Macaca fascicularis: one gene and its partner. The protein of the gene in region 2 interacts with the protein of the main gene of each other region in a biochemical or structural test. Links are inferred from orthologs where the notes say so. Each region holds a gene or a part of one and is shown on either strand. Other genes may lie near its edges.

What was found.
Region 1: the proteins of PPP2R1B (region 2) and PPP2R2A form a complex in vitro, tested with the Homo sapiens proteins (2 studies listed by BioGRID). The link is inferred for Macaca fascicularis from reciprocal best matches to the Homo sapiens genes PPP2R1B and PPP2R2A.

The regions. Positions count from the first base shown.
Region 1 is NC_088382.1:29,548,255-29,552,292, reverse strand, and holds part of PPP2R2A (serine/threonine-protein phosphatase 2A 55 kDa regulatory subunit B alpha isoform), read right to left. Parts: intron 2,711-4,038; coding exon 2,598-2,710; intron 1,907-2,597; coding exon 1,729-1,906; intron 406-1,728; coding exon 241-405; intron 1-240. UniProt on the Homo sapiens protein: Substrate-recognition subunit of protein phosphatase 2A (PP2A) that plays a key role in cell cycle by controlling mitosis entry and exit. Involved in chromosome clustering during late mitosis by mediating dephosphorylation of MKI67.
Region 2 is NC_088388.1:110,685,834-110,690,650, forward strand, and holds the start of PPP2R1B (serine/threonine-protein phosphatase 2A 65 kDa regulatory subunit A beta isoform), read right to left. Parts: upstream 3,166-4,817; 5' UTR 3,139-3,165; coding exon 3,025-3,138; intron 2,167-3,024; coding exon 2,076-2,166; intron 1,679-2,075; coding exon 1,578-1,678; intron 1-1,577. UniProt on the Homo sapiens protein: The PR65 subunit of protein phosphatase 2A serves as a scaffolding molecule to coordinate the assembly of the catalytic subunit and a variable regulatory B subunit.

The sequences.
Region 1 (4,038 bases), on a different chromosome or scaffold from region 2:
ATACATTCCTTGTCTATATTATCAACAGACATGCCCCCCAAGAGAGCTTGACTATACGTGCTTCCAGGGAATAACCTGGAAGGCCTCATGAGGAGGTAGGCAGATTACCAAGGGTACAAGTGGCTCTGGACACACAGGTTTAAGACTTGTAAACCTCTGTAATTGTACTTATCACATCTGAGGCTTATTTCAGACAAACAGAATATGTAATCATTTTAAGGAAAGATACAATAAACTTACATTTAGAATGTCTATCACAGAGGGCAGATGCCCTCATGTCACATAGCCGAATAGTTCCTTTACTGCTGCTGTATACAAATGTGTTACAGCTGTTTGGATGAAATTCTGCTGCTGTAATCACCTCTGTCAGCTCTTCCATATTGGCAGGCTTGATATCCACAATGTCTAGATAACATTTTATTAAGGAATTTCCACTTAGAAAAAAGGGCAAATATAATTCTACATTTCTCAAACCTAAAACCCATTCACGGACCTAAGCAAAAGTATTAATTCTGAATTGTACTCCACTGTTTTTATGAGTATAAATTCCAAAGGGATTAAAACCTTTTTTTTAGACGGAGTCTCACTCTGTCACCCAGGGTGGAGTACAGTGGCACAATCTCGGGTCACTGTAGCCTCCGACTCCCAGGTTCAAGCGACTCTCCTGCATCAGCCTCCTGAGAAACTGGGATTACAGGCGCACACCACCACACCCAGCTAATTTTTAATTTTTTTTTCTATTTTTGGTAGAGACGGTGTTTCACTATATTGACCAGGCTGGTCTCGAACTGCTGACCTCCACCAGCCTCGCCTCGGCCTCCCAAAGTCACTGTGCCCGGCCTCAATAGAGTATTTTTATTGACCCAATCATGCATCATGACTTGAGTGAATTTCTTTTTCTAATCTTAATGAGACTATATATATACATATATATATATATTTTTTTTTTTTTTGAGACAGAGTTTCACTCTTGTTGCCCAGGCTGGAGTGTAATGACACAATCTCAGCTCACTGCAACCTCTGTCTCCCAGGTTGAAGCAATTCTCCTAACTCAACTGAGATTATAGGCATGCGCCACCACGCCCAGCTAATGTTTTGTATTTTTAGTAGAGATGGGGTTTCACCATGTTGGCCAGGCTGGTTTTGAACTACTGACCTTAGGTGATCCACCTGCCTTGACCTCCCAAAGTGCTGGGATTACAGGCTGAGTCACCGCGGTTGGCCGAGACTATTTTTACAATAAAAAATTCAAACACAATACTCCATAAATTTGATTACAAGAAAAAAAAATTTTTTTAGAGACAGGGTGTTACTCTGTCATCCAAGCTGGAGTGTAGAAGCAAGATCAAGCTCACTGTAACCTTGAACTCCTGGCCTCAAGTGATCTTCCCACCTCAGCCTCCCAAACCGCTGGGATTACAGGCATGAGCTACCATGCACAGACCTCACAAATTTGATTTTTAAAAATTCCTATTTCCATAGATACAAGACAAATTCCTTAAAATTCCATGAATCCAATTTTAAAATAATACATTATGCCCTTTATGTTCAGCAAATAACTCTTTCCAGTATTTCACTACTCATATACAAAGAAAAAGTAAGTTGCCATACATATATGTATACAGACTATAAAAAGAAGGAATCACATTCATTAAGGAGAGATGAAATAAATCCAATATGGGCACAACATGCCTCTTCACCAAACACCAAAGAAAACCAAATGGATACTAAAACTCCTGTCTGTAATTTCCAGATGCCAAAGATTAATCCGCAAATCATCTGCAGATAAATATGTTTCATAATCACTATTAATAGAAATTGAGTTGATGTGATATGTATGAGCATTGGCAAATATTCTTCGTGGACTGGCCTCAACCATTAGATCCATAGGCCTAAAGACTGGCACCTGTCAATAAGACACATGAAAAAAAGAAGTTACAAAAGGTTCAGTTTCAAATAGCAATTAAGATTCACAAAACTTCATTATTTTAGTTTTTGAGAACATAAAATAGAACAATATTACATAGATTTAGTTTTAAAAAGGAACTGATGTTGATCCTTTCAAAATGCTGAAGAAAAATGAACAATGTGGATAATATATCTTCTTTTACTGGTAGCAATACTATTACAATTTGCAGTTCTTAGTTCCAATATTTTGCTTGAAAGACATGCCAAGTTAATAAATGTTTATGGTTCAAATTAAAGAGGCTAAAAAAAAATTAACCCATAACATCTAACTTTGGGTATTTTTTAGCTACAACTAGAAGATTTGATCTATATCTACTTTTTTGATTTCCAAAGAAAATTTATCTTGAAACTTGACCTTGTAGTAGCTAACATGACAAACCAGAGATGAAGTCTGATGGCATGAAACACTGTCTTGTGTTTGAGTCCTGCTTCTGTCCCTGGTCAAAGTGAGACCTCTATGTAAGTCAGTTTCTATGTTTAAATGAGTTACTCAATATTCTACCTGATTACAGAATTATTGGGAAAGGGGAGACAGACTATAATTATTCCTATTCAAGCTCTGCTCAGGATTTGGGCTATATAATATGAATACAAACACTATCTGTGACATTTTATTCTTATGTACTTACTCGTAGTGTAGTAACTGTAGTAGGATCTCTATACCTTCCATCTTCCTCTTTCAGGTTATACCCTTCTGGTCTTTTGTCCCTTTCACTGATTTTCCATAATTTTATTGTTTTATCTGGGAAGAAAATAAAGCAAGCCCTTAAAATAAAAGGGTAGTACTGAAGAAGAAAAACATTTTAAGGCATTTAAAATATGCTATTTCACATTTCATCTAAAAGGATTCCATGGAAAAAAAAAAAAAAAACCCTAAGCTGACTTACTAAAAAATTTCCTATTAACAGCTGAATACCACACACACATAAAGTACAAAGATCACAAATTTATACATTAGTGGCACTCATATAAATTCCATGTGATAGTCAAATCAAGTCACAGGTCTCTATCCCTATCCCTTAAAAGTAATTAAAGCTAGAAGGAAAAACTTGATATGCATGTGTGGTGTATGCAAACACATGTATGTCTGTAGATACATGTACACATACACTCCATATACGCTCAGTATTGAATTTCGTATCAGGGTTCAGAAGTAGGAAACAGGGCCTGAAGAAAATTGATTAAAAGCATATATCCCCAAGTCCTTCAAGAAGAAACCAAATTCCTAGGTATCAAGGATATATAAAATGGCATCTGTTTAAAAACAAACTTTTGTTTTACAATTAAGTTTAGATTTACAGAAAAGTTACAAGAATTGTAGTGTTCCATATATCCTTTACCCAGTTTCTTCTGTCAACATCTTACGCAACCGTGGTACGTGTGTCAAAACTAAGACATCAACTTTGTATATTACTATTAACTCAACTACAGACTTCATTTGGAGATTTAACCAGGTTTTCCACTAACATTCCTTTTCTGTTCCAGAATTGAAACAACACCGCATTTAGTCATCAAGTTTCCTCAGTCTCTCTGCCTTTACGTTTCTCAGGCTCTCCTTGTTTTCTTGATCTTGACAGTTTTGAGTATTGGCGGTGAGGTACTTTCTAGAAAGCATATCCCTCAACTGGATTTGCCTGCTGTTTCCTCATGATCAGATTGAGACCATGGGTTTTCAGGAAAAGAACACAGAGGTGAAGTGACTTCTCACAGCACTGTTCAAGGGGATACAGCAGTATCAACATGACTTACAGCTGGTGGTGTTAACTTTGGTCATTTGGTTAAGACAATGTTTGCCAGGCTTCTCCACTATACAATGACTCTTTCACCCTTGCCATATTCTATTCTTTAGAAGTAAGTCACTAAATCCATCCTGTACTTAAAGGGAGAAGTAAGTTATACTCCCTGTAGGGAAGAGTATGTATCCACGTCTTATTTAGAATTCTCCTGCAGGAAGCATCCCTTCTCTCCATTTATCCATTCAATTGTTTATTTGTATCACTATAAGCTCATGCACGTTGATTTAAAACTGTTATAATCGTAAAATAACATTCTTATAGAAAAGTATCATAT
Region 2 (4,817 bases):
TGTTAGGAAGCTACTACAGCAATCTAGAGGAAAGATGATGGTCTGGACTAGGCTGGTAATAAGAGGGATGGAAGAAAGTGGACTGATTTGAAATATACGTAGACTCTATAGGAATTACTAATGGATTAGATGTGGGGAACAAGGGAAAGAGAATTCAAGAATATATTCTAGGTTTTGGCTTGTCCAACTGGGAAGACAGTGATACCATTTACTTAAGTGGAACAACTAAATGAGAAGTGTATTTGGGGGATAAAGCTAAGTTTTGTTTTGTGTATGTTAAGTTTGAAATACCTGTTTGACATTCAAGTAGAAAAAAGCATAGGCCTGTATACATAGAAATATATGTATCTATATCTATATATTCATACTTATCTATTAATCAATCTACCTCAGGAGTTCCATGGAAAAACCAGAACTAGAGATAGAAATCACCAGAATCAGTATTACTACCCAGTATTGAAAGCCCTGACGCATACATCCCTACCTTGTCCATCTGTTGAATTCCTGGTCATCCTTTAAAACCTAGTTTAGACATCATCTCCCAAGGTCTTCCCTGATCACCCTGAGTGAATCTCTTTCTCCCCTCTATTACGTGGGTAGGGTATTTTGTAGGTACTTACACCTTTCCATTTAAGACTGCACAGTAATTATTTGCTGACGCATAAAGGCAAGGGACCTCATTCAATTCACTTTGGTGGTCATTTTCTTTTTTTTTAAGCGATGGGGATCTCACTATGTTGCCCAGGCTGAATTCAAACTCCTGGGCTCAAGTGATCCTCCCATCTCAGCCTCCTGAGTAGCTGGTACTACAGGCTTGTGCCACCAAGCCCCCTCACATTGGTCTTCTTCAACATTAACATTGTAAATTACGATATGTCTGATAAAGTAGACTCTTTTTTTTTTTTTTTTTTTTCAGATGGAGTCTGGCTCTGTCGCCCAGGCTGGAGTGCAGTGGCCGGATCTCGGCTCACTGCAAGCTCCGCCTCCCGGGTTTACGCCATTCTTCCGCCTCAGCCTCCCGAGTAGCTGGGACTACAGGCGCCCGCCACCTCGCCCGGCTAGTTTTTTTGTATTTTTTAGTAAAGACGGCGTTTCACCGTGTTCGCCAGGATGGTCTCGATCTCCTGACCTCGTGATCCGCCCGTCTCGGCCTCCCAAAAAGTAGACTCTTAATAAATGTCAATGAAATTGAACCAAATTCATCAAAAATTCATCAATTTGCATCAGAAAGTCAGAAGCAAAAGTTACAATTGACAAAGACAAAATGCTGCCAGGTGAGAATTAAGGTTTCCAACATCATGCGGGGGAACCATTAAAACAATCAAATCCTTTTTCTACCTCCATCTAAACTAGTAAGTCTACAGATGCAGAAAAGAAGGACGAAGTTCTCTTATTCACAGAAAAAAAAGAAGGGGTTGAGTCCAAAGTGCCTATAGTATTTCTTCTCTCAATGACTCACATGACTATCTGCCCATAAAAAGATCTGCATAAAAAATGCTGCAGTGTGTCTATCACCAAACTGTGTATCATTTATACTGCAAAAGTTCTAGGAGGGTAGGCAGCTTATAAATACTCACCAGCAGACAGTGGGCAAAGTCAGGACCTCCCACTAGGCCAGTGAAATTTCCCAGCTGCTCAGCAAGAGCTAATAGTACCTCATCTTCATCATAAATTGTATCTGGAAGGGACAACAACAGGGACTCATCAACATGGATAGCTCTCACATAGCTGGACACTGACACAAAACTAGGAACAGATTCACTATGCGACCGGTAAGGTGGCCCAGTCAAAATCCTAACAGCATTTTCTTCCTTCTCCTCAATCAACCATCTTCCTGGATCTGTTTTGCACAACGAATTAGAAATTCATACTCCCATATCAATTACTTTCCCAACAGCTAAATGGTTGATGTTTGAATATATCTAACCACAACTAATAATATCCTCTGTTCTGTTTCTTTTGCACAGAAAGCACCTGGCTCATTTTAATGTGGGTAACAAACTCTAAAAAAGTCAGTGTCGAAAGTCCCTGGAAAATGAATGTCCCTGCCTTTCTTTAAACAAAGATTCACATACCTGTAAGAAATGGCAACAATTCACTTCGCGTCCTTTCTACTCCAAGTGCTAGGGCAATTGTTGATAACTTCTTAATACTGTTGAGTCGGAGCTTCAGAAAAGAAAGTAGAAAGAAGAACAATGTAAAGAAACGGCTGAATTTAGATCAAAAGACAAAAGGTGCTAACAGGTGAAATAATGACACAGGGGTAAGAACGAAGATAACCTTTTACTTAGATTTTACTGTTAAGGAACCTCCATAGGACGGAGGAGTGTAACTCGGCCTCACTAGCCGGCGGAAGATTTCCTGGGAGAAACACTCAGAAGGGCCTGGAAGAGAAATGAATGAAAGACAATACAACACCCAGGAAGTAAGATAATCTTAAAAAGAGAGGACTTTGGCAGTGGTGAAGCAGGTGAAACGGTTGAATACAACGCCTGTGGTTTCAAAGAAAAGTTCCCGCAGAGCTGATACAACGACTCGTCCAGGTTAATCGGCCATCCCACCCCCTCTTTCTACCCAACAGGACGAGCCAGTTCCAAGCCCAGATGAAGGGATTCCGAGGCACTTCAAAGAGCTTCTGGGCATCCTGCGCCCCTCAGCCGCTCCAGCCCCGTCTCGGCCCGGCACCGCGCTTCTCCAGCTCCCTCGCCTACCAGGCGCGGCCACCTCACAGCCCGGATAGGGCGCCCAGGCGGGAAGCGGGTTCCCCGACAACCGCCCTGGAAAGGCAAGGCTCCGGGCGGACCCCTTAGGGGGTCCGAAGCAGGGGTACCAGAGAGGTCCCCGGGAGGGTCGAGGCGTGTCACCACAGCCCCTCGCAGAGCTTTCCCTGCCTCCCCTTCAAGTTTCTGCTACGAGTCCGGCTCATTCAGTACCCCGGCCACCCCCACCGAGGCGCAGGCCTTCCCCCTTCTCTACCACGCGACCAGTCGGTCTCGCCTCGGCTCCCCGGCCTCAGTCCAGTACCTGCACGTCTTCATTGCGGAGCTCGTCGATTAAAACCGCGATTGGGTATAGCGAATCATCTCCATCTCCCCCCGCTGCTCCTGGGCCGGTCCCGAGCCCCGATGCGCCCGCCATGTTCTTTCTCCTCCTGCTGCTGGTCACAGCCTCCCGCCCCGCGCCCAGGCCCCGCCCCCGCCCCGCGCCCAGGCCCCGCCCCGCGCCCGGGCAGCAGGGGAGAAGGCCGCCGCGCGGGTTTAGCAGAGGTTGGGGAGTTGAGTTTCTGTCCCGATGATTAAGACTCCCTTCCGACCCCCACTGCAGGAGTTGTAGGTCTGAACTCAAGAAGACGGGTGGGCTGAGAAAGCGAATGGAACCCCTGCGTCCTTTCCCCAGCCGAAAGAAACAGGGACAGGGATTCATCCGGCTCGTTGTAGTCTGAAGGGGCCAGGGACCTACCTGAGTGATCCGCGCTGTGCCCTCTTAAGACTCAGGCGGACCAAAGAGAGTGCCCGAGGCCAGGAGGAAAAAGGCTTTAGCACCTCCCCTGACTTCATCCTGGCCCTGAGCCACTGGATCTCCAGCCCTAATTTCTCCGCTCAGCCTCAAGCTTCCACAGAACCCCTCCACCTCTTCCGTCGGCCTGTTCTCCAGAATGGTATCTGGCTCCTGCTCCGTAAGACAAATAACGCGGGCGGTGAGAGAAAATGAACAGTGCTGTCCAAACTCCCCAGTCAATATTTTTTCCACGCAAGCTGTTAAAAACATGCTGCTCTCTTGTTTTTGTGTTTCTTTTCAGTTTGGTACTGGAATGGTGCCTTCTGTTGTATTTTCTTCCTCCCATTTTTTAGCTCTTTAGCATGCTAGAAGTACAACAATGAAGCAAAACTAGGACAAGCTTTAATCCCTTGAGGAAGAAAACCCAAACTGGCCTCCCTAGACCTCCAAGAGTCCTCAGAGGCAGCAAGGGGAAGAGGTGGAGGTCTGGGAGCTCGTTCTTACAAACCTGAATGGAAAGTTTTCACTTATCCTTGTCAGGGTAGCACAGAATAATTAGAATGTTTTGTTTGTTTTAGACTGGAATTTAAGCAGCTTGGAGTGATAACTACATATGGTGATCACAAGCTCCGAAATGGTAATTCTATATGCCTGATTAATGAAACTATTAATGCAGTGTAGGAGACAGACTTTTTTAAAACATGGGGTCTGAGGCCGAGGCGGACGGATCACGTGAGGCCAGGAGTTCGAGACCAGCCTGGCCAACTTGGTGAAACCCCATCTCTACTAAAAATACAAAAATTAGCTGGGCTGGTGACCGGCACCTGTAGTCCCAGCTACTCAGGAGGCTGACATGAGAATCTCTTGAGCCCCAGAGGCAGAGGTTGCAGTGAGCCAGGATCGCACCACTGTACTCCAATCTGGGCGGCAGAGTGAGACCCCGTGTCAAAAATAAATAAATAAATAAATAGGGTTCTTGGAAGTAAGCACAATAGAGCCTGTGAATGAATGAATGAATGAATGAATGAGGTGCTTGGAAGTAAGCACAATAGATAGAGCCTTTGATAGTAATGAAAGTTTGGGAACCAGCAGACCTGAACAGTTTTTCTCAAATTATGTTTGTGGATGTATTCTCTAGGGTTTTAATTTTATTTTCATTTTCATATTTTTTAGATTTGTATAAACATATTCTGAATTATTTGGGTGACCACCTTACAACTCAGTATTGCCACACAATTTCAGCACCTACATTTACATGTGTGTTTTAGTGCTGCTTTTATTGTTCTGGGATAATGAGAAAAGAACAGAGGTGGTTTTAA